3 linked regions of the Styela clava genome follow. The main gene of each other region encodes a partner of the protein of the gene in region 2 in a complex. Links are inferred from orthologs where the notes say so. Each region holds a gene or a part of one and is shown on either strand. Other genes may lie near its edges.

Region 1 (7,176 bases), on a different chromosome or scaffold from region 2:
GAAAAGGCACTTCCATTTCCAAGTGCCATATTGCCCACCAAAACATACACTCGCAGACTTGTTTGACTGCTATAAAAACTTCTGGGGAATGGAAGCATTGGACCAATACCCCAAATCCAGTAAAAAAATAGTCAAAACCACTAACTATTTCATTTTCTTTTTTCATAAATAGATATCAATAAACAGCATTACAAAATGAATTATTTTAAATCATTTGTGAAAGGCAGTGATGAGCAACAGCCGAGTGGAGCAGAAACCGTATCAAGACTTTGTGATCGTGTTGCATCATCTACGCTCCTTGAAGATCGTCGAGATGCTGTTCGTGCATTAAAATCATTGTCGAGAAAGTTTAGATATGAAGTTGGCACACAGGGAATGGCTCATATTGCTACTGTTTTAGATCAAGACGCAAATGATGATGAAATGGTGGCATACGCACTCGATACATTATGCAATCTTATGTCTGATATGGAAGAAGATGATGACGTAGTTCCGCAACCTGAATTAACTCGTACATTTGTCGAAAAATTTACCGCAGAAGAGAATAATATAAATGTGGTATTAGATTTCGTTGAGCGATATGATTTTAGTGTTCGACTCTCCGCACTACGGCTTATGATTTCATTACTGAAAGGTCAACCTGGTAAAATACAAGAAACTGTGCTTATGAAACCCATGGGTATATCTCGACTAATCGATTTATTGACCGATTCAAGAGAGGTCATTCGAAATGATGCGTTATTGTTGCTCATAGAACTGACGCGTGGAAATTCCAACATTCAAAAAATTATTGCTTTTGAAAATGGCTTTGATATTATTTTGGATATAATAAGGGCAGAAGGGATGAGTGATGGTGGAGTTGTAGTAGAAGATTGCCTTTTGTTGTTACTACATTTACTAAAGAGAAACACATCAAACCAGCAATTTTTCAAAGAAGGTTCATTTGTGCAGCGTTTGACACCATTTTTTGAAATTGATTCAGAGTCTGTATGGTCTGCACAAAAAGTTGCGAATTTGCATCTCATGCTGAAACTTGTAAGAACGTTGGTTGCACCTTCAAATCCATCGAATGTGACATCTTCTTGCCAGCTTGTAATGCAGCAATGTGGATTACTAGAGAGGCTGTGTAATATGTTGATGGCCACTGGTGTCCCGGCAGATATTTTAACAGAAACTATCAATACTGTTTCGGAAGTTATTAGGGGATGTGAAGCTAACCAAGCTATGTTTGAATCTGTTCATGCACCTTGTGAGCCCCCTCGTCCAGCGATTGTTGTTTTGTTGATGTCAATGGTCAATGACAAACAGCCTTTTGAATTACGGTGTGCTGTTTTGTATTGCTTCCAATGCTTTTTACATGTTAACCCAGCAGGACAGACAAAAATTGTCAACACATTACTGCCTTCCTCACTTCAGTCACAACAAATTTCTGCCGGTCAGCTGCTTTGTGGAGGATTATTTGCTGCTTCTGATCCACTGTCTAATTGGTGTTCTGCTGTCGCGCTTTCACATGCATTAAATCGTAATACCGAAATGAAACAGCAACTGTTACGAGTGCAACTCGCGACAAGTGTAGGAAATCCACCTATATCTTTGCTGCAGCAAATTACAAATATAGTTAGGCAATCAACGAGCATCCAAAGTCGAATGGGTCTACTTATTCTATTGTGCAGTTGGCTTTCTGGTTGTCCAATTGCTGTTTCCCATTTATTACATGATTCAGATGCTGTTCCTTTCCTTTTGAGCCAAATAGCCGAGCACGGAAATGAATTGGACCACGTTTTGCATGGAGTATGTGCTCTTTTGCTAGGAATATGCATTGTTGATAATGATGGTTCAGTTCCTCAATGCACGAAAGAGTCACTCATTGAGTTAATTGTAGCAAGAGTAGGAATTGAAAGATTTTGTGACTCTCTCGGAGCAGTTACAAAACATGATCTGTATTCTAAAGCGTTTCAACGTTCTCAACCTGTTGCACCATCTTCAGATGATATGTTGTTCGATCATAATTTTACTAAATTGTTCAAAACTTTGGAAGATAATATTATAAAAATGGTTTCAAATTTAGAGGATGTCAAGAAAGAGGAAGAATCAAAAGCCGCCATCAAGGCCCATGATTCTATCATAAAGGAATATCAGGCTCTAATAAGAAGTCAAGATACAGATTTAAAAGAATTGAGATCTCGTGTTTCCAGTCTTGAATCTGAATTATCACAAACAAAGGAAAACTTGGATGAACGCACAGCACAAGTTCAGCAATTAAAAGATCAATATAACGTATTGAAAACCATGCATGATTCTTCATCTGGGGATGGTGTCAGCGATGCTGCCGAGTTATTGTCATCTTTGAATGTGCAAATTGAGGAACTGAAGCAAGAAAATGCAGAAAAAAATGCAAAATTACAAGAAAAAGAAAATTCTATTCAACAGTTACGTAATGATCTTGATGGTTTAGAACTTCGTTCTCTGCAACTCTCGTCCTCTGATGAAACTCAACAAAACAACAATCAACAAAGCAATACTAACATACCAGATGACAGTATACATGCCATCAATGTGCCTGATGATTCGAGACTACAAGAACATAGATTAGTACAACTCACAAATGAAGTTGATTCATTACGATCCCAACTTCAAGCGAAGGATGAAGAAATTTCTAGGTTGTTATCAGAAGGTGCACGCTCTCAAAACACAACTGATGAAGTGTATGATGTACTTGTTTCTGAGAAGACGTCAATGCAAACAAAGATTCATGATCTTGAATCCAGATTGAATGTTACCAGCCAAGAAAACCTCACACTTCAGGATAAAATCTCAACACTTGAGGAAAAACTCTCCAATTTACAGAGTAAAGAAGAATCTCTTGTACAACAAGTTACCGATGCAAACTCCAAGGCAGAAGAGGCAAAAGCACAAGCTGAAGATTTCAAAAAAGAGCAAGAAGATTTGCTTATTCTTTTATCAGACCAGGAGACAAAGCTAGAATCTTATAAAACTAAAATTAAGACTCTAGGTGGGGAAATATCAGATGAAGATGATGATGAAGAAGAAGAGGATGATGAGGAAGATGAAGATGTTATAGAATCCTTAAAGCAAAATTCTCAACCTGGAGACACTAATGGTGTTAACACCCACCCAGAATAATGTCAAAAATAATTCTTGAAAATATTTTTATTCCATATTAGTACAAATTCTATTTAGACTGCTGTACATGTCTCACTGCTTTAAATCTCAGAATGGAATGCTATGTAATATTATGTAAATTTCATACAGATTTGTATAAGAGAATTTGAAGGAATTCTAGATTTACTGCTTGTATGTCCATGCATACGATAGGCTTCCTGTACAGTTAGGACTCCTTTTCAGCTATTTTTATATTGAATATATCTTTAAGATACTTTTTTTTGCTGCTCCACTCATAGGAATGTTATGGATTAATTGCGCATTCCTCACGATAATAATCATTTATGGAGAAGGATTGTAGAATATGAAAGTAGAAACACTCTGATAGGTCTGATAATATTATGAATTATGATGATAATCATTTTACAAGAACATTGGGGCTTTCTATGAAATTTTTAGATTCAAATTTCTCCAAGGCAATGTATTATATTTTTCATGTCATACTTAAGCATACTTTTATCTAATATTGTATGCTGTTGTATCATATTATAGGTATTATCTATAATGAAAAGTAATGTTGTGGTATTTTCTTATAGTTTTATTTTTTGCTTATGTACAAATATTTATATCACATGATTTGGTCATATTTGAATAGGACGTTCTGTTCATTCTGAGGGCAAATAGGTGCATGAGATCTTGCCTAGGTATGTCATATGGCCCAATTTGTATCATTCAGTGCATGATAAGTTTTTATAAGTTTGATCTGAAACCTTGTATTATCAAATACTCACTCCGTGATTATCTACTTCTGAGTCTATTTTTCTGTGTATAAGATATGGCCTCTGCAATCATTAGTTTTTTGTGCAATTACGACCAGTTAATGGATGGCTGTAACTCGGGTCCAATATCTTGAATGCTTTCATAAAATAAAAGGTATTGCTGTTTTATTATTTACCGGTGATGTGATATCTGTTATTTCAGAAAAATCTTCTAGAATGAATTAGATTAAGATTTTTAATGTAAAGAGACTTCAATTTGATGTTATAAAAAATGGCAATGCATCAACGTCGAGATCCATCGTTATCACGGAAAAAGATTCAGGTGTCGTATATCATTCGTGATAAAGTGGAAATGCTGAATCGCTCTGGTATTAATGCTCTACAATATGATCCTGTTGCAAATCGTTTATTCACTGCTGGAAGAGATTCAATTATCAGAATGTGGGATTGTGAGTCTGCTCAAAAAGAAATGGATAATTCTAAAAAACATGGAAAAATGAACAGAGGTTCTTATGAAGCATCAATGGAACATCACACTGACTGGGTAAATGATATTGTACTTTGTTGCAACAACCGAACTTTGATTTCTGCATCTTCTGACACAACTGTAAAGGTTTGGAACGCCCATCGAGGGTATTGTATGTCTACATTACGTACACATAAGGATTATGTGAGAGCATTAGCATATGCAAGACATCGCGAACATGTCGCGAGTGCTGGCCTCGACAGACAAATATTTATATGGGATGTTAATACATTAACAGCTCTTACTACAGCTCGGAATACTGTTACAACATCTAATGTGAATGGTTGTAAGCAGTCAATATACAGCTTAGCAATGAATGCTGCAGGGACTGTTATGGTCGCAGGTTCGACAGAAAGAGTTCTTCGAGTCTGGGACCCACGTACATGTGATAAAAAAATGAAATTGAAAGGACATACAGATAATGTTAAAGCACTTTTGGTGAATAGAGATGGTACACAAGTATTATCTGGTAGCTCAGATGGCACAATACGTCTGTGGTCTCTCGGGCAACAGAGATGTATTCTTACAATGCATATACACAGTGAGGGAGTGTGGGCTCTCGCTGCTGCGGAAGGTGACAATGCTTCATCTTTCACCAAAATTTATTCATCTGGGAGAGACAGAAGGGTTGTGTGCACTGATTTATGTGATCCAGATGCCTCGAAATACGTCGTTTGTGAAGAAAATGCTCCTGTGTTGAAACTACTGGTGAATTCTCGAGAAAATACGAATGAGATTTTTGTCGCAACAACTAGTTCCGCAGTCAATGTTTGGCCATTGAAGGGGCAATCAGATATAAATGGAGCTTCCACAGGTGGATCATTTGATGAGGTGATGTCTGAAGAGGAGTTTTTGACTACAACACAGCCCGAGTTTACGCAACCTTCATATACATTCCCTGGTGAAGCAAGTATTTTTCATTACAAAATATTATCAGATAAAAGACATATATTGACAAAGGACACTGACAATAATATAGCATTATGGGATGTACTCATTGCAAGAAAATTAGAAGATCTTGCAGAAAAGGATTTCGAAGCCGAAGTTAAAAAAAGAGAAAAAATGCTTTATGTTCCAAATTGGTTTAGTGTCGATTTAAAACTCGGCATGTTGAGTATACATTTAGAAGAACCTGACTGTTTTTCTGCCTGGGTTACAGCAAAAGATGTAGCGGGATTTGAAAATTCAGATCCCAGTACCAAGCTTAATTATGGTGGTTTGTTGCTGCAGGCATTGCTGGAACATTGGCCAAGTACACATTTACACATAGAAGACACGTCGGAAAATGACAGTGATGAGAAGAATGATAGAGAAGGTGAACGTTCACCGAGCCACAAACAAAGACCTCATAAAATTATTAAGGGAAATAGATATTTTTCAGTCCCTGGCCACACTCCAGTAATATTTAGTGAAGTAGGTGGTCGTACATTGTTTCGCTTACTCTGTCGAGATGCTGCAGGGGAATCGGAGTCTATGTTATTGCGAGACACTGTTCCACAGTGGGTAGTTGATACTGCTGTTGAGAAAAAGATACCCACAAAGTTTGTTAAAATTCCATTTTATTTGCATCCGCATCCTAACTCATCAATAAAAAATCTCAAAAAGGATAGATTGTCTGCAAGTGACATGCTCTCAATACGTAAAGTAATGGAGCATGTATATGAGAAAGTCTTATGTTTGGAAGAGGATTCAACTCAAACATCATCAAGCACGCCGACAGCATCTCCAACTGCAAATGCAGATAAACATGATACTTCAAGCAATAGTAAGAAGTCTACCCCAACTGGTAACACTGATGCTGCTAAGACTGATATAGATAAATCATCTGTGATTATGGACAAAGTTGTGCTGTTATGCCAGGAGCAAGTTCTCGATCCATCATTAGATCTGCGTACTGTGAAACATTTAATTTGGAAATCAAGCAGTGATATGATTTTGCATTATAAGCTTCAACCTATTCCATAACACCCATTTGCAGTAGAAATTTAATTTATATCACTTCATTTTCATTACTTTTCTTATATTTTATTTATATTGTGCTAATGACAGGCAAATCCAAGAAAAGCTATAGAATAATGGCCTTTATATGACAATGGACCAGTGTTCCCCTCCAAGCCTTCAATTTTCGATGCTTATTATCATTATTACTAAATCCTGAAGATGAGATGTAAATTCAGGAATTATAATATTCGGATAATACTAGTAAATTATCTACGGCATAGATTCGTGTTTTGAGTACAGTCCTTCTCGACCCATGGCCAATACCGCATGATGATTTCTGCTTTATCCTGTGGACCAAGTCTATGAATACTGAATATGTAGGACAGCAATGATGACTGTTTATCAGGTTCCTAATCGTTATTAATATTTTAAAATAAATATGGAATCATACATATGGCATATTTTATAATATAGCACATTTGTTGTCGTCTTGTGGCAAACTTGAAACCGAAGCGGCAGACGGCAGAATTACAAATCGAAAAGTTCCCTATATTCGGCGGTGTGGCGCATCGTGCTAAGCGTTGGGAATACGCTCGCCACCGAAGCTCTGATTATCCTTCGTGGGATCGCATGCGGGGGTGATCATGTGCGAGAGGATTCCTGGACTCCTCGCCGCCGTAGGGTGGTTCACGTAACCGCTGGTCGGTTACGGCTTCCTCCACCATCAAGTCCATGCTTCCGAAAACAAATGACTGGCTAACTAATCCCATACCTGACCTGGACTGGTAACCGGACGAGAGGCCGTGG
Region 2 (7,422 bases):
GAGTTACAGCAGATGGTGGTCCCTGTATAAAAGTCATAAATTCAACACCAGTGCAAACAGACATGTAGTAGTGCTATGTTACTAGGATGTTATTGTCACACCTCTCATTTCTCTGGTCTGTTTTTTGATTCTGCTTATCAAGTTACGATAGACATAGAAAGATGCAACAATAACTTAACCAAAGATATAAACAAATTCCCAAAATTAGTGGCAAGATAGTGCAGTAGGATTATATCAATGGCAGTTGGTTATTACTGAAAAGAACAAATCGAGTAAACTAGAACTTAGCCAAGGTGATATTTAGATATTGCCCCTGACATGTGACAGATTGTTGCTGTTGGAGTCATCAAGAAAACTATCAGAAAAGCCAGAAGTGTGAAAGAAACCAAGGCAGCAGCAAAGCCCAATAAAAAAAACGAAAAGAAGCATCTAGCGCCCATCAACAATCTAAACCAGAAAATATCTACCGGTATTATATTAGTCCCCAACGGTGACCGTACATTTGAACCCATGTACATTTGAACCCATGCGTATATCCACGGGTTCAATCTATATGCGGGTGCTAAAACCCATGGGTTAGGGTTAGTATGGGTTTAACTATCCGTGAAACAAAAAAAATTCCATAGGTGCAATAGCATACAGGTGCAATTGTCATGGGTTCAAATGTACGTGGGTTCAAATGTAATGGAACCGTCCCCAACACAACTTAAACTAAGTACATATGTACTCCACATTTTCAATTAACAAAAGCAAAATTGAAGATAACTCTGGATTATAAAAGTAGGTTAGTCTAAGCATCAAGTCCCTAGCGCCACTTTTTGTCTCTTTCCAATAATGCCTAAAGACTATGTTGATTACAATTATGCTGGCAATAGGTTCCTTTTTGCAATATCCATTGAAGATATATTGAATCAGGTTATATGACCAATATTAGGACAGAATATACGAAATTGATGAATTGGAATTTGTCAGAAAAAAATTGCTTTAGTGAGAAGCAACCCGGAGACGGTTGAAAATTTTGGATGATGTTTCAATCCTGGCTTGCCGGTTGATGCATCATTTCAAGCATTACCGTCAGAAATACACATGCCATTGAAAGCATAGGGAACAATTTTATGCGACATAATTGCCAGCTCGTCGTTTTGGGGAGGTTCCCGCAACCCTGTAACCATTGGTCAGTAACAGGTTTTTTCTCCATGAAATTTATGGGTCTGAAACAAATAATTGATGAACTACACTCATACCCGCCATGGACTGCAACTTCTTCCACTAGCTGAGTACAGTAACATGGAGAAAGCATACCATATCCTAATATTGAGGATTGAATTGATTTAATATTCCCATACTTCAATTAGACTATCCAATGCCTTATTATAATATTACTGTATTATTACCTTTTTGCCAATTAAATCCCAATGCCAAACAGAATTTTTGTAAACTAATTGATATTCAGTATGAATTGAGACCAAATTCAATGAAAAGAGGTTGGGTTGTATTACTATTGGGGTCTGGTATAGTTTAGTACCACAAGTACTTCTGGTGGGCGCAGCATAACGAATTTTGCATATGTTATTCCTAACTATTCCTAACCTGACTATGTCATCTAAAAATTACTTCACTACGACCTCACAACACGTCATAGAGCTTGCAAATGTATAGCTACGATCGCCCAAAATGGCATTCGCACCAACCATACGAACTCTCTAACGCCAGCAGTTACTCTAATATCGGGATCGTTGCGTCGAGAAAACAAGAGAAATAGCTTGCTCGATTTCAGGTGATCGCCGACCCGTTTTGGACGACCATTCGTACACTTCAAAGGTCTAAACGTCCTCAAGTGACGTAATTTTTTAGTGAAGTAGTCAGGTGGGGGTTAGGAATGACATATGCAAAAATTGTTGAGCCAGGCTAATTAGAAGTAGGGTGGCTTAGTCACTTTGCGGCCATCGACTTCACGACCATCGACTTCATCGATTAAATTAATGTCGAAAAAATTAACAAACAGCGTGGATATTTCTCACGCGTTAACGTCCACTTATCCCCCGCAGCTCTGCGAGATTACACTAAAATGCGGCCACAAACGAAAAAGTTAAGACCGAAAACCGGACCATTTTTTCATGTTGCCGACTACCCATTGTCTCTCTGAAAAAGAGAGATAAAAAGATGAAACTTGGCAGGTGGGTAGAGTTGTGTTTCTTTTAACCATCTTTAAAGTTTCGCGTTTCTACATTTAAAGGAGGGGGAATAGGGGGGTGCACATTTCCAATACGTCAATATTATCTTTGCTGACCAATTTGTTTTTGTCTGTTTGATTGCTGTGATGCGGTGCTTTGTTTATAATTTGACGAGTTTTGTTCGAAATAAACGTGTTCTTAAAATATATGACGGTCAGAAATGCAGTTAAAAGCCCAAGTTTTTCACGCATGGCCCTAGTCTCGAAGCAGCAGAAACGATGTTCAAGGCTTGAAATCCGTGGTCGAAGACTAGTCGTTTGGTCGCAAATACGTCTTCAGAGTGTCGTACTTTGGTGGTTTGTATAGCTTTAACCTCTCGTCGTAGAAAGTTAATTCGAGGTTTAGTGTGTAAAATAAATGCCAATGCACCTACGATGAAAAAATTGGCGGGTTGGAATTATTGGTTTTTGTTTTATAGCGGTTTGAATGAAATCGTCCCCAGACAGGCTACACCACCCTATATGTTGCACTAAACTATACCAGACCCTTACTATTGTACCATAACTCTGCACAGTACAGCAGTACAGTGTCTAGGATAACGACAAAATCTTATCTTAGCACTCACCTGCGCAGTGTATGGAACTCTGTTTGGTCTGCAGTATTCAAAGTTTGGCATTTGCTTGTAAGTTCCCTCTCTGGTGGTAAACCGTGACCTGATATCCAACTCCCTGCCCCCTCCGTCCAATGCCATGGCCGAAATAAAAGGGCGAAACGGCCACAAAATAGTTTGCAAAAATGCGACTCCACTGTCTTTCGGGCGAATTTAATCAACAACAAGGATGCAACCCAAATAATATTGGTCCAGCAATGCCCCCAGTGGTCACATATTCATTATATTTATTTCTTTATCAACCACACGGTGGGGTTGGGTAATTTTTGCTTTTATGATAAATTTTCCAGACTGTTTTGCTGATTTCGATTTAAATTATTCGACCATTTTTTAGCTTAATTTATGTTTTGATTTATGTTCGTTTCCTTCGCAGTGCGCCGTACTAAGCGCCAGGAAGCCCACCACCAAGTCAGGCATCTGAAACAAATAACTGGCCAACCCCATACCGACGCGGACTGGTAATCGTACGAGAGGCCATGGTACGCCATTTGAATACGCCGTATTATCGGCTTTACTCTTCGCCGAAATTAAAATGACATCTTATTCTTTTCTTCAACAGACTTCGAGTTGAACCTCCGCTAGTAAAAGTTTCTAAGTGATTTTCCACTACTACGGGTAAGATTACTGTACTGACTACCGCAATACGTGAATAACGAAGGTTAAAAGTATTGCATTGATGAGGTACAGTGATGGATTAACCATTAAACAGAAAAAGCACTTGTTTAGGGCACCAGATATTTCCGCGACCTGCGCGATCTGCAATAGAATCCCAAGAAATGCATGTATGATGGAATGGAAACTGATTGACCATAGCTTACCTTGCATTGATTGCTTTTATTTCATCAGAATCCGGTGGAATATGACGTGTGGCCGCGCGTAGTATCAGAGCGTACATCACAATACAGGTACAATATACTGATTTTTATCTTTAGTGCCTGCGATGGTATGTTTTACCTATCATTCTTAACACATATTTTTAGTGTGTATACTGTATGATATCGTTTCAATATGTAAAAGAACTAAACGCCGCGTCAATTTTAATCTGATATGTTTTCTAAATTTAGAAACAGTAAACCAGAGATAAGACGGTCAGTACAAGAGCCAGAAAGAATCAAATTGATAAACCTCCGTCCAGTCTTTTAGTATTCCTCTAATGACGGTCATAAATTTAGTTTGCAGACTCAATTCTTCGAATTATCCTATGCATCTTGTTGCCATGATTGCATGGTAAAGCATTTTTCGTGTAAAAAATGTAGGCTACTACAAATTTAAAGAGGTACCTGCTTCGAATCAACGCAGTATGTTTGTTATTTTGTCGGGGTAATTTTTTTGAGGGTAGCGGTAGCGTCAAGGGTAAGAACTGCTTCACCATGTGTAACGTGTTCATATATTTGAGTATTGCTTTGGTGTAATTGTAAATGTAAGTGTAATTTGATATTTTTTGCACGGAGTAAATGTAATGTAATTGAAAAGTTTAAGGGAGAAATTGTAATTGAACTGAAATAATGTAATTGATCCAACTCTGGCCGCGAGCAAGCGAAAACAGCAACCAAGGGTAGCAGAGATGCAGAGGATATAGGAACTAGAGAAGAGAAGCCAAGGGGAGCATAGATGCAGAGGATATAGGAACTAGAGAAGGGAGCCAACGTGCAAGCGAAACAGCAACCGGGGGGAGCAGAAATGCAGAAAAAATATGAACCAGAAGCCAAGGGGAGCAGAGATGCAGAGGATATAAGAACTAGAGAAGAGAATCCAAGAAGGGAGCCAATACGAGGACAACCAAGGGCAGAGGATATATGTACTAGAGAAGAAAAGCCAAGGGGAGCAGAGATACAGAGGATATAGGAACTAGAGAAGGGAGCCAACAGCAAGCAAAATGGCAACCGAGGGGAGCAGAAATGCAGAGCAGCTATGAACCCTGACAAGCCTGACCAGCCGCCAAGGGAATATACGCCAGCTGTGCAGTCAAAATTAAAGAAAAGCTGAGAATGAGCAAGAAAAGAAGAGTGGCAAGTCCAAGGAGATCAGCGATAAAACGGCTAATACAAATCGGCAGCGAAGCTGGCTAGTGCGAGTGGAAGAAGGTCCAGGAGATCAGCGATCAGGGGTAAAACGGCTAATACAAATCGGCGCCGACGATTTCTAGTGCGAGTGGGAAAAGGTCCAAGGAGAGCAGCGATCGGGGGTAAAACGGACAATACAAATCGGCAGCGAAACTGTATGGTGCGATTGGAAGAAGGTTCAAGGAGATCAGCAATCAGGGGTAAAACGGCTAATACAAATCGGCGGCGAAGCTGTCTAGTGCGAGGGGAAGAAGGTCCAAGGAGATCAGCGATCAGGGATAAAACGGATAATACATATCGGCAGCAAAGCTGTCTAGTGCAAGTGGAAGAAGGTCCAGGGAGATCAGCGATCAGGGGTAAAACGAATAAAACAAATCGGTAGCGAAGCTGTCTAGTACGACAATCAAGCATCAAAATAAAAATATGACGAGTGTGAAAGAATACAAATAAAAAAAGGCAGCAGGGTCCAGGGGGATCATGAGTAAAAACGGAGCGATAATAGAAATCGGCAAATAGACACGAGGGAATAATATAGATCAGCAAGGCTGTGTTGGTGGGGGAGTAAAAACTAAAAATAAAAATAAGAAAAAGTGCAGCAGGGTAGAAAAAGAAAATATAATTGGCGAAAAATATACGTGAGGGAAATTAGGGAGGCCGAACAAAAATTACGATAAAAAATATCAAAGCGCTGGTGGGAGCGAAAGTAAGCCGCAGTAGAAGGCGAAATAATTAAACAGGGAGTGCAGAATAATAGAAATGAGCGAGGCGGCAATCAAAAAGCAACAAAAAAGTCCAGGGTAAATAAATAAAGGAAGTCAGGGAGAGCCGCGAAAGAAATTGAGATGGAAGAAGTGTGAAAAAGGCTGTGTGAGTGAAAGTAGGATGGAAAATAAGAAAAAATGGGAATCAGCGAGGCCAAGAAAAATAAATTAAGATAGTGAATGGAATGAAAGAAAATAGGGAAGAGGGGAAGAATGGAAAATAAATAAATATAAATGAGCTAAAGATGGTAGGGAGGTAGGAAATAAATGAAAAAGGGAAAGCATCGTACTGATCGTAGTCAATACGAGGAAAAAATAAAAGATTTATTTATATTAGAGCAAAGGTGGAAACCGATCATAAAAATGAAGAATAAAGCCAGCGCTATAGTAAAGAATACTCGGGGTGGAAATAGAAACAATGAGACCCCAAGGGAAAAAGAAAGATATAATATAATAATGAGTAGCCGTCAGGACGTAGGAAATAACTTAAAAAGAAAGCATCGTAGTAAATACAAGGAAAAAATAAAAGATATTATATTAAAGCAAGCAAGTTGTAAGGTGAAAACCGTTCATAAAAATGAAGAATAAAGCCAGCGCTATAGTGAAGAATGTGGGTGAAAATAGAAACAATGAGGCCCCAAGGGGTAAAAAAGATGGAATGTGAAAGAAAATAAAAAATTATCGAGGCTGGCTGGAGCAACAAGAAACTGGATTCTCTACAAAAATTATGCAAAAGTAACACGTTTGCTCATAACAAAAATAAAACAAGTGTAGGAGATTTGTTTTCTATAACCTAAAAAAGATTAATAACCAGTTTGCCATGTTGTAATAAAATTCCTTGGATGGGGAAAGATCGGCCAACCAGAATCTCCACATATGAAAAGAAAACAAGGGAGCGAAGTTCAAATATATGGTCACGAAAGCCAAAACAAAATATTTCACTCACAATTTCTCAAAACTATACCCTGAAGGAAGCTTGAACTATGTGACGGTGGACCCACAAATCTGGTAACCGTCATATAGTTCAAGCTTCCTTCAGGGTATAGTTTTGAGAAATTGTGAGTGAAATATTTTGTTTTGGCTTTCGTGACCATATATTTGAACTTTGCACATCTACTACCAAAATTTTCGAGACCAAATTTGCACTATCATAGACCGAATGCGGATCGGTGATTGTCTATCAGTAGTTCTCAAACTTTTTAAGCCGCGCCCCCTTTTAGGATTTGTCAAGTCTCGCGCCTCACCTTAAAAATAACTAGCCAACAATAAGCTACAAATAACATATAGTAAGGCCGAAGTAGCCTATGTTTCATTTAAAAACACGTTGAAAATACGTAAACAAAGCGTAAATATCCCAAATGAAGCAACTAAATATCCAATATATAGCGGGCAAAATCAAATTTGACAAATGTTTACATCAAACAATATAGAGGCACTGTCGTAACCCGCTGTTTCTGCTAATGTTGGTTCAAAGACAAAACTCTTGGAATTTAAATTTCATTCCAAAAAACTACCGAAATTTTTACTGAACACTTGCTCTTGGTAAAAATGACTAGTTGTTGGATTTCGTGTGGACAACTGCGACACGAACTTGGGAGTAAAGAGACACACGATGCTTTCCTCGGAACAGAAATAAACCACAAAATAGTATTCCCGACATAGGGTGTGCTGCTCACAACTGCATCTAGCACACCGTGAATACCTTGCGCCCATTCGCGTTGGAAGCCTTGACATAATGCTAGCAGAAATTGTAA
Region 3 (7,644 bases), on a different chromosome or scaffold from region 2:
GTGCGCATATCCCACAGAGCACGGCGCGTTGGCAGAATCTCATGGTCTAGTGAGAATGACGTCATCGGAAACATCGCGCTCATTAAAATTTCAATGAACGATTATCAAAAATCTTGACCATGTTTATCATGATAAAAATATCAAAAAAGATGTAAAAAATATTCTATCTTTAAAACTGCTCACGTAAACAATGAAAGATATCTAGAAAATTACAAAAAATGCAAATTTCTGCTCTGGTGATCACATTCCCCATAAGAGCTAAGGTTAAAAAAATATTTTTTACATCACTTTTCTTTTTGCGCGTAGGATGGGTTTTTAATGAATAAGGTCTAATGCATAGTTCTTATGTATGTGTTGTAAACTTAAGGTTATTGGATTTCCGGGAACCTCTTATATTCAATTTCGCATCAGAATTGGGGAACAAGCTGTAATGCGTTCAGTATGTTCATTTTCACACAAACCTGAAGAACTTATTTAGTTACCAGATGTGCGCTATGAAACTCATTTTCTGGGCGTTTTCAAGGCTTCGTCTCACGGCCCATATCCGTGGTAAGGATCTACAAGTGTTTAATAACTTACTTGTACATTTTTTAACAACGTCTTAGCATAACTTAACTAATAATATCTAAACAGGGCTATGGAAAGGCTGCTCAACTCAACGCAAGGTCGAGCAGTAATAACTAATATTCATCCGCTCGCTAACAGCTGATTCGATTCAATTGTTACGTCATGCAGAAGTCATTGTTCATTGCCAAAAATGTAGAGAATATAGGACAGATCGTAGCACATATTTCTTGTAGTAAAAGCGTCTTTTCTGTAAAACGTGCAACTTTTGGAAGTGGGAACAAGGCAATATTTGTTACTAAATTTCTAAGGAACATTTTAAAATCATTTTCAGGTAGTTACCTGATGTGCGTTACGAAACTCACTTTCTAGGCGTTTTTCAGGGCCTCGGCTCGCGGCCTAAAACTTAATTTGAATATGGATGATCTATTTGATGAAGTTGCATCTATTCAAAAAATAATTTGGCACGATTCAAAACACTAAACTGTTTACAGAATGCAAAACAGCAAGCAGTAAATGGCACTATATCTTGAAAAGTTTTGATCTTAAGTGTGTTAATGTTGTCAAAATTGTTTCATTTGTGCTCTCAATTCGCGGAACCTCAGCTTATTGGGGACGCATTTTTAGTGTAATGTCATCTAAATTCTAAATGACGCAGTGAAAGGAACAGATGCTCCATACAACTAATGAAAAGTGAGCTTTTAATATGAAAGACACTTGTCGTGACTCGTGAATTTTCAGGAAAAATAAAGCGTGATCCACAATTGCCGAAGTAAGCAAAAAGTCAGAAGAAATATAACAACTGCAAAATTAGAGCTCGTTTGGGTCAATGGACTTTTCCCCGACCCTCGACCCCCGAAAAATTCTTCCTATACTTTATAATTGCAAAATTTTCTGGGTATATTTTAAAAGTGGATTCGCGAGTTGGCGCCTGTAAAATGAAGTATGTGTTTAAACCATCATCGCATACAGCAGTCTGTTTTTTAAAAGTACCGGTAGAGAGTTTTAGCCTAGTCTATCACAGCTATTTCTACACTAATTTTTTATCACTGCAATCAAATTAAAACTCCTAGGAAGAAAGAGTGATCATCAAATTATCTGATTTATATCTAAATTTCCGAAACACAACTGAAAACTAACGAATAGAGTTCAAAAACGCGAAAACGAGGAAATGTTTACGAGCACGCCTGGAAATCTGTCTGAGTGAGAAAAGTGTCTGAGCGGATGCGAAAAGGGAACCTTGTTACGTCACTTTTTGCATCTTGCTGATTGGCCAATGTCACGAAGTAAACAAGGAAGTCGATGCTCGGGGAAGGTCGATGTTAATCAAATATTAAATTAAAAAACACATAAAGATTTTTTTAATATATATATATATCTGTTTAGCTTGTATATAACTTTTATTTCATTGTTTTATATTGTTCTTTCCTGCAAGTTAAAAAAATAAATGTTGAGGGTGATCTATGTCCTTTATTGATACTTTCCATAGTTGGCAACCCTAGTCTCGTGTAGTTTCGTGCCTAACATACTTCTAGTGGGCGTAACATTTTTCATCAAAGCCCATATATACCTGTTTTTCATGTGTCAATCCTAACCCCGAGTCCCTAAACTTATACTTATTATACTCCCGACCTGACTATTCCATCCAAAAATTACGCCACAGTGACGTTATCGAGCCCTTCAAGCTTCAAACTACACGAACTGTCATCCAAGATGCGCAAACGAGCACCCGAAATCAAACAGCTATTTCTCTCGTTTTCTCCGCGCTACGATCCCTATATAAGAGAGAGATTGCTTACTTTAGTCTGTCATTCATCGTCGGCGCCGATGCCATTTCGGGCGATCGTTCGTGTATTTGGCAAGCTCCATGACGTGATTGTGACGTCGTAAGGACTTAATTTTTGTCAGGTGGACCCTAAATAGTTATTAAGAACAAATAAAGTGAAACAAAAACAGATTATAGAATCAGCAGAGCAAACAAAACCTTGAGAAAGGTTTATAGCGTTCTGACTCATTGTAAACTTCAAATTATTTCTGTATTTAGCATTCGGTTACCGCTCCGTACTGCAGAACTGTATTTTTCAAATGAACTGCAGAACTGGGTTTTGGTAAGGCAGTACTGCAGTACTGTGGTGAGGTGAGATTAGATAGCTCTGTTGCTAGTGGGGATATTGTTTTTTTCAGATGCATGTACTTGATTGTGGAAGAAGCGGTGTCCAAATGCGTTTATTTTGCTAAAACACGATTGCAGGATTGTGTCAGACACACTCTGATCAACTTTATTATCATTTTTTCCAACTTGTATGTGTGACTCACTTTTTCATGTGAAACGACCGAGGAGCCTTTTACTGCTGCTCATCAAGTATTTTTATTATTTTTGGATATATTATTTGTGTTACTTATGGTAAATGAGCACGTGCATTGCGCATTATAAACTTTATTCATTAGTTTTGATCTTTTTCTGAGCATTTCTGTTGTTTTGTTCATTTCATCGAGTTTTGTGTTTTCAGAATGCCATAATAAATTGTATCGTATTGTTCCATCACAAACAAAACAACTCGATCCTTGATTTCTAACAAGTGCATGCATGTGGTACAATTTGTATAAAACCTACTGACCAAGCTATTTGCATTGGACGCTGGATAATTCCTTTAAAAATTCACTATTTATCGCCATAAAACTAGGGTTTAAATATGTTCAACTCAAGTATCCTTTAAAAATTCACTATTTATCGCCATAAAACTAGGGTTTAATTATGTTCAACCCAAGAAATTTTGTGCTACTATTTTGATACTTCATAATGGAGCCTCATCTTTAATTGCATCAAGCATTGTTAATAAGCATATCTCCAAACTCGAGCCTGCTTGAGCCGAAATCTCTATTTCGAAACACAGGAACATCTGTGTACCAATATGTGAGAGGATTGATGAACTCTTTGTGGTCACATAAGGATATATTGGTTCTCATTTCTTCTGAGAGTGCAGAAGTGCTCAGCCTTTACAGTAATTACGAGAAGTTATTATATATTATGCAGTCACCTTTGTTTAGGAATATTTTGCATTGCAGCATTAATGCTGGTGTTTGTTAATATTTGGTGAATTAACACAATATATTTATCTTACAAACTTTTAGTTTTGCATGTTTTTTAAGTAGACTATATGACAATATAAAATGTGTACAGTATGCTTTCTTAATACTGTAATAGCGGTCTTACTACTTACTGAATACAGCGCGAAACACCGCAAAGAGCGCAAAACAGCGCGAAACAGCGTAAAACAGCGCAAAACAGAGGGAAACAGCGCAAAACAGTGTGGAAACAGCGCAAAACAGCGCGAAAGAGCGCAAAACAGAGGGAAACAGTGTGAAGCAGAAAAAAATTTTGCAATGAGTTCGGGACACCTTGTTTTGAGTTGGAGTACCACGGCAGCAAATTAAAAACACAAACCAACGTATGTAGCCAGTAATGCTGTAATGGCAGGTCTGCCCCTGCTGGTGACACATTTAGGGTACCATAATTTAGAACATTTTTCATATGGATATGGTTGGCTTTAGGGTTAGGGTTAGGTAAAAAGGGACCTCCAGAAGTATGTGCACCAAGATGGCGCACAACCTGAAAATAGTGTGTGTGTGTGTGTGTGTGTGTGTAGCGGATTCAGGTTGTGCGACATATTGCTGCACATACTTCTGGAGCACCAAAAAGGTAGATAAAATTTCGCATGATGACCTATAATCCGGTACATAACCTTGTAAATATGCCGGAAATAGCGCCATAAAACCATGGCGAGAGGCGCCGTGGTTCTTTCGTGGCAGGAGGTGGTAATGACTGCGTCTCCTGTTTTGCGCTGTTTCCCTCTGTTTTGCGCTGGTTTCCTTCTGTTTCGCGCTGTTTTCCTCTCTTTTGCGCTGTTTCGCGCTCTTTTGCGCTGTTTCGCGCTGTTTTGCGCTCTTTGCGGTGTTTCGCGCTGTATTCAGTAAGTAGTAAGACCCCTGTAATAGTACAGTAATAGATGGTTAATGTGTTGGAACATTAAAAACAGTTGCAGTCGTGAGTCGCCCCTATTGACATCATAGGTTCTGCGAAATATTTGCAAGGCTCTTTCTGTCACATGGTGATTGTAGCAACTATATCTGCTATTGTACATGTGGAACATTAAACTCATTACTTTTGAAAGTAAAACTATGTGCTTCTATATTTTTCTCAATATTCACCAGAACACATGATGTAATGTAATGTAACCATGTAAACCTGTTAACTAATATTTAACAGTCTGACACCTTTTAAAATATTTTGAATTTTTTGATGGAACAAGAGTATATAGCCATAAAATCCTATTACTAGATGTAAGATTTCATGAAGGGGTGTCTTCCAAGCATAATGGTGAGTTTTTTTATCTTTCAGTCTTTGGTTTGATATTACTGATTCGCAATTACACATGATTTATTGTTTCTGATACCAATTATTCAATGCTTTTTACAGGGAGCAAACGCTTCAGCACTTGTCAAAGATATCGGGCCAGAACAATTTCCTCCAAATGAACATTATTTTGGATTCATCAATGTATGTGACATGACTTTTAATTTGATTACTGTAGGAGTTTGGTAGTACTTATCGAAATAGTCTAAGTTTCAACTTACTAGCTTAGTCAAAGTTTGTTACGTAATATTGTCTTCGGTAGAGCGTGTCGTGCTTTGGAGCAACACTGTGAAAGCATGACATCAAAATTTTACTTCAAATCAAAGTGCTTCTGTGCCGAAGTTAAAGCTGTCTCGCGGTCCCCCTAAAATCGCTTCGCAGACCCCTAATCGGCCGCGGACCCTAGTTTGAGAACCAATGGTCTAGTACAGGGGTGTGCAACCTTTTTCACCGGCGGGCCAAATTCAAGTAACTGGGTGGAGCCGCGGGCCGCACCTTTATTTAATATGGACTTTCTCGTAATTACCGTTACAAAAATTGTTTATTTTTGCTAGTTATCTTACGGCAATATTAGGGTTTCTTGCAGAAATAGTGAGTTGAACGCAAACTTGTGTCACTGATATCATTGCTCTCATCCAATGCCAGACTGAAAGCTTCACTCACTTTGCAATGACGGTTAACAACAATTCCTGGCTAGTGAGATAACACATTTTATCTATAAACGTAATCTGCTAGACAGAGCTTATAACTGAACGAGTCTAAACCACAAATCCAAAGAATGCTTACGTCACGTACTGTCATAATCAAATTACTGTTTCTATCTAAGCAATAAAAAGATACACGAGGTCTTAATTAATTAAACTGTCGGATTGGGATTTTATGCTTGATGGGTAAAAATCAAGAGTATTGACAAGGGCCACACTAAATGGCTTGGCGGGCCGGGTTATGGCCCGCGGGCCGCCTGTTGCACACCCCTGGTCTAGTACAATATACAAGACAACTTCATTTTGATCTGATATTTATTCATGATTTCGATAGTCCTAATATAAATTGGCTAATTTTGGTAATGAGATATTCAATGATTTTGTAGATTTAATCAACCAGAATATATAGGATGGGATTTGGGACATATTTGTTCCAGGTGAGAGGAAAACGATAAGTTGGCTTAATCATATGGCGAACCACGGCCTCTCGTTCGGTTACCAGTCCATGTCTGGTATGAGATTAGTAAGCCAGTTATTTGTTTTCGGAAGCATGGACTTGATGGTGGAGGATGCCGCAACCGACTAGCGGTTCCTTGAACCACCCTACAGCGGCGAGAATTGCAGCGATCCTCTAGCACACTGGTTCTCAACCAGTGGGCCATGGCCTACTGCTGGGCCATAGAGACATTTTCAAGTGGGCCACAAGCCTATTACAAACTACTATGGTTATTGGAAAGTTTAATTTCATTTGTCATTATAGTCAAATTTTTATTGTAGTAGCAATGAATGATGCTGCTGCTTTTCATTCTGAGTATTAAAGTGAAAGTATTTATTTTTGCAAAAAGAATCTTGCTTTTCTTGTAGTTTTTCCCTTGCATGAGAAAGTTAGTGGGCCACAGAGTTTTTATGCAACTAAAGTGGGCCACGAAAGAAAAAAGGAGAGTCTAGCACATAACCATTTGCATGGGATTCGAACCTGCTAACTCACGCAGGGTAATCAGAGGTGCAGCGGCGGGTGTATTCCTAACGCTTAGCACAGTGCGCCACACCGCCAAGCCTTTTTTCTGGTTAGAGAGATTGTTCGATTTCAGTTCATTATCTTTCAGTTTGGGAATACTTGTTACTGCAACTCTGTACTACAAGCTCTCTTTTTCTGTCCACCATTCCGAGAAAAAGTTCTTCAGTATCGTCAGCAACTGAATGGAAAGCATGGGGGGAATAAAAAGGAAACATTACTCTCTTGTCTCTGCGATCTTTTCCACAGCATAACAACACAAAAGAAGAAAGTTGGGGTCATACAGCCAAAGAAATTTGTTGCCAAATTGAGAAAAGAAAATGGTGAGACATTATTTGCTCATTAGAAAATGATTTTTTTCGTGTAAATTTTATATTATGCAAGAATGTACCATCTAATGTCACAGTCCATAAATAAGCCTGAATTTTCTTTTTTTATCAATGATTTAATAATACCAGTGAAGAAACTTACTCAATGATAGGGTAGGGTACGTAGTGATTGTTGTAAAAGTAACGTTTGATTGTTGTAAAAGTAACGTTGTAATTACGATACGTCAACAGTGAGCGAATGAGATATTTGACTTTCAAGCTCGAGCGAGGAGAAGCAATTTTGTATTTATGAGAAGAGTGTGCCGCTATTCAGGAGCCATCGTGATTTTATATTTGTTTGGCAGCTCTAACAAATAGACTATTGTTGAATTGTTTGCCCTCATGGCTTTTAGTCAAACATTTCAAACCAAGTTTTATACTAATATTGGGTACTAATGTTCAGTTACACCTATTAACCACTATTTGTTCTGGAATTCCTAGGTATTATGAACGGCTTTGTATGTAAATAGGTAACTACCGGTATATGAGGTATATGCCGGTATATGAGATTGATTATGCTGTGATTTTCTATGATAAGTTTTATATATCTTCAAAACTTAATGCCGCACATACAATAGT

Evidence for each region. The genes of interacting proteins can lie anywhere in the genome.
Region 1: WD repeat-containing protein 20-like (region 2) and WD repeat-containing protein 48-like share a complex: the UniProt entries of both Drosophila melanogaster proteins name them as parts of the usp12-46 deubiquitylase complex. The link is inferred for Styela clava from reciprocal best matches to the Drosophila melanogaster genes CG6420 and CG9062.
Region 3: WD repeat-containing protein 20-like (region 2) and ubiquitin carboxyl-terminal hydrolase 46-like share a complex: the UniProt entries of both Drosophila melanogaster proteins name them as parts of the usp12-46 deubiquitylase complex. The link is inferred for Styela clava from reciprocal best matches to the Drosophila melanogaster genes CG6420 and Usp12-46.

What each region holds. Positions count from the first base shown.
Region 1 is NC_135253.1:16,167,901-16,175,076, reverse strand, and holds WD repeat-containing protein 48-like, read left to right. Parts: upstream 1-4,173; coding exon 4,174-6,393; 3' UTR 6,394-6,821; downstream 6,822-7,176. Other genes in the region: general vesicular transport factor p115-like, read left to right, coding at 196-3,144. UniProt on the Drosophila melanogaster protein: Regulatory component of the Usp12-46 deubiquitylase complex. activates deubiquitination by increasing the catalytic turnover without increasing the affinity of deubiquitinating enzymes for the substrate.
Region 2 is NC_135251.1:17,321,253-17,328,674, forward strand, and holds the start of WD repeat-containing protein 20-like, read right to left. Parts: upstream 3,014-7,422; 5' UTR 2,926-3,013; coding exon 2,800-2,925; intron 23-2,799; coding exon 1-22. UniProt on the Drosophila melanogaster protein: Regulatory component of the Usp12-46 deubiquitylase complex.
Region 3 is NC_135263.1:19,355,797-19,363,440, forward strand, and holds the start of ubiquitin carboxyl-terminal hydrolase 46-like, read left to right. Parts: upstream 1-4,641; 5' UTR 4,642-4,915; coding exon 4,916-4,942; intron 4,943-5,041; coding exon 5,042-5,122; intron 5,123-6,788; coding exon 6,789-7,020; intron 7,021-7,644. UniProt on the Drosophila melanogaster protein: Catalytic component of the Usp12-46 deubiquitylase complex.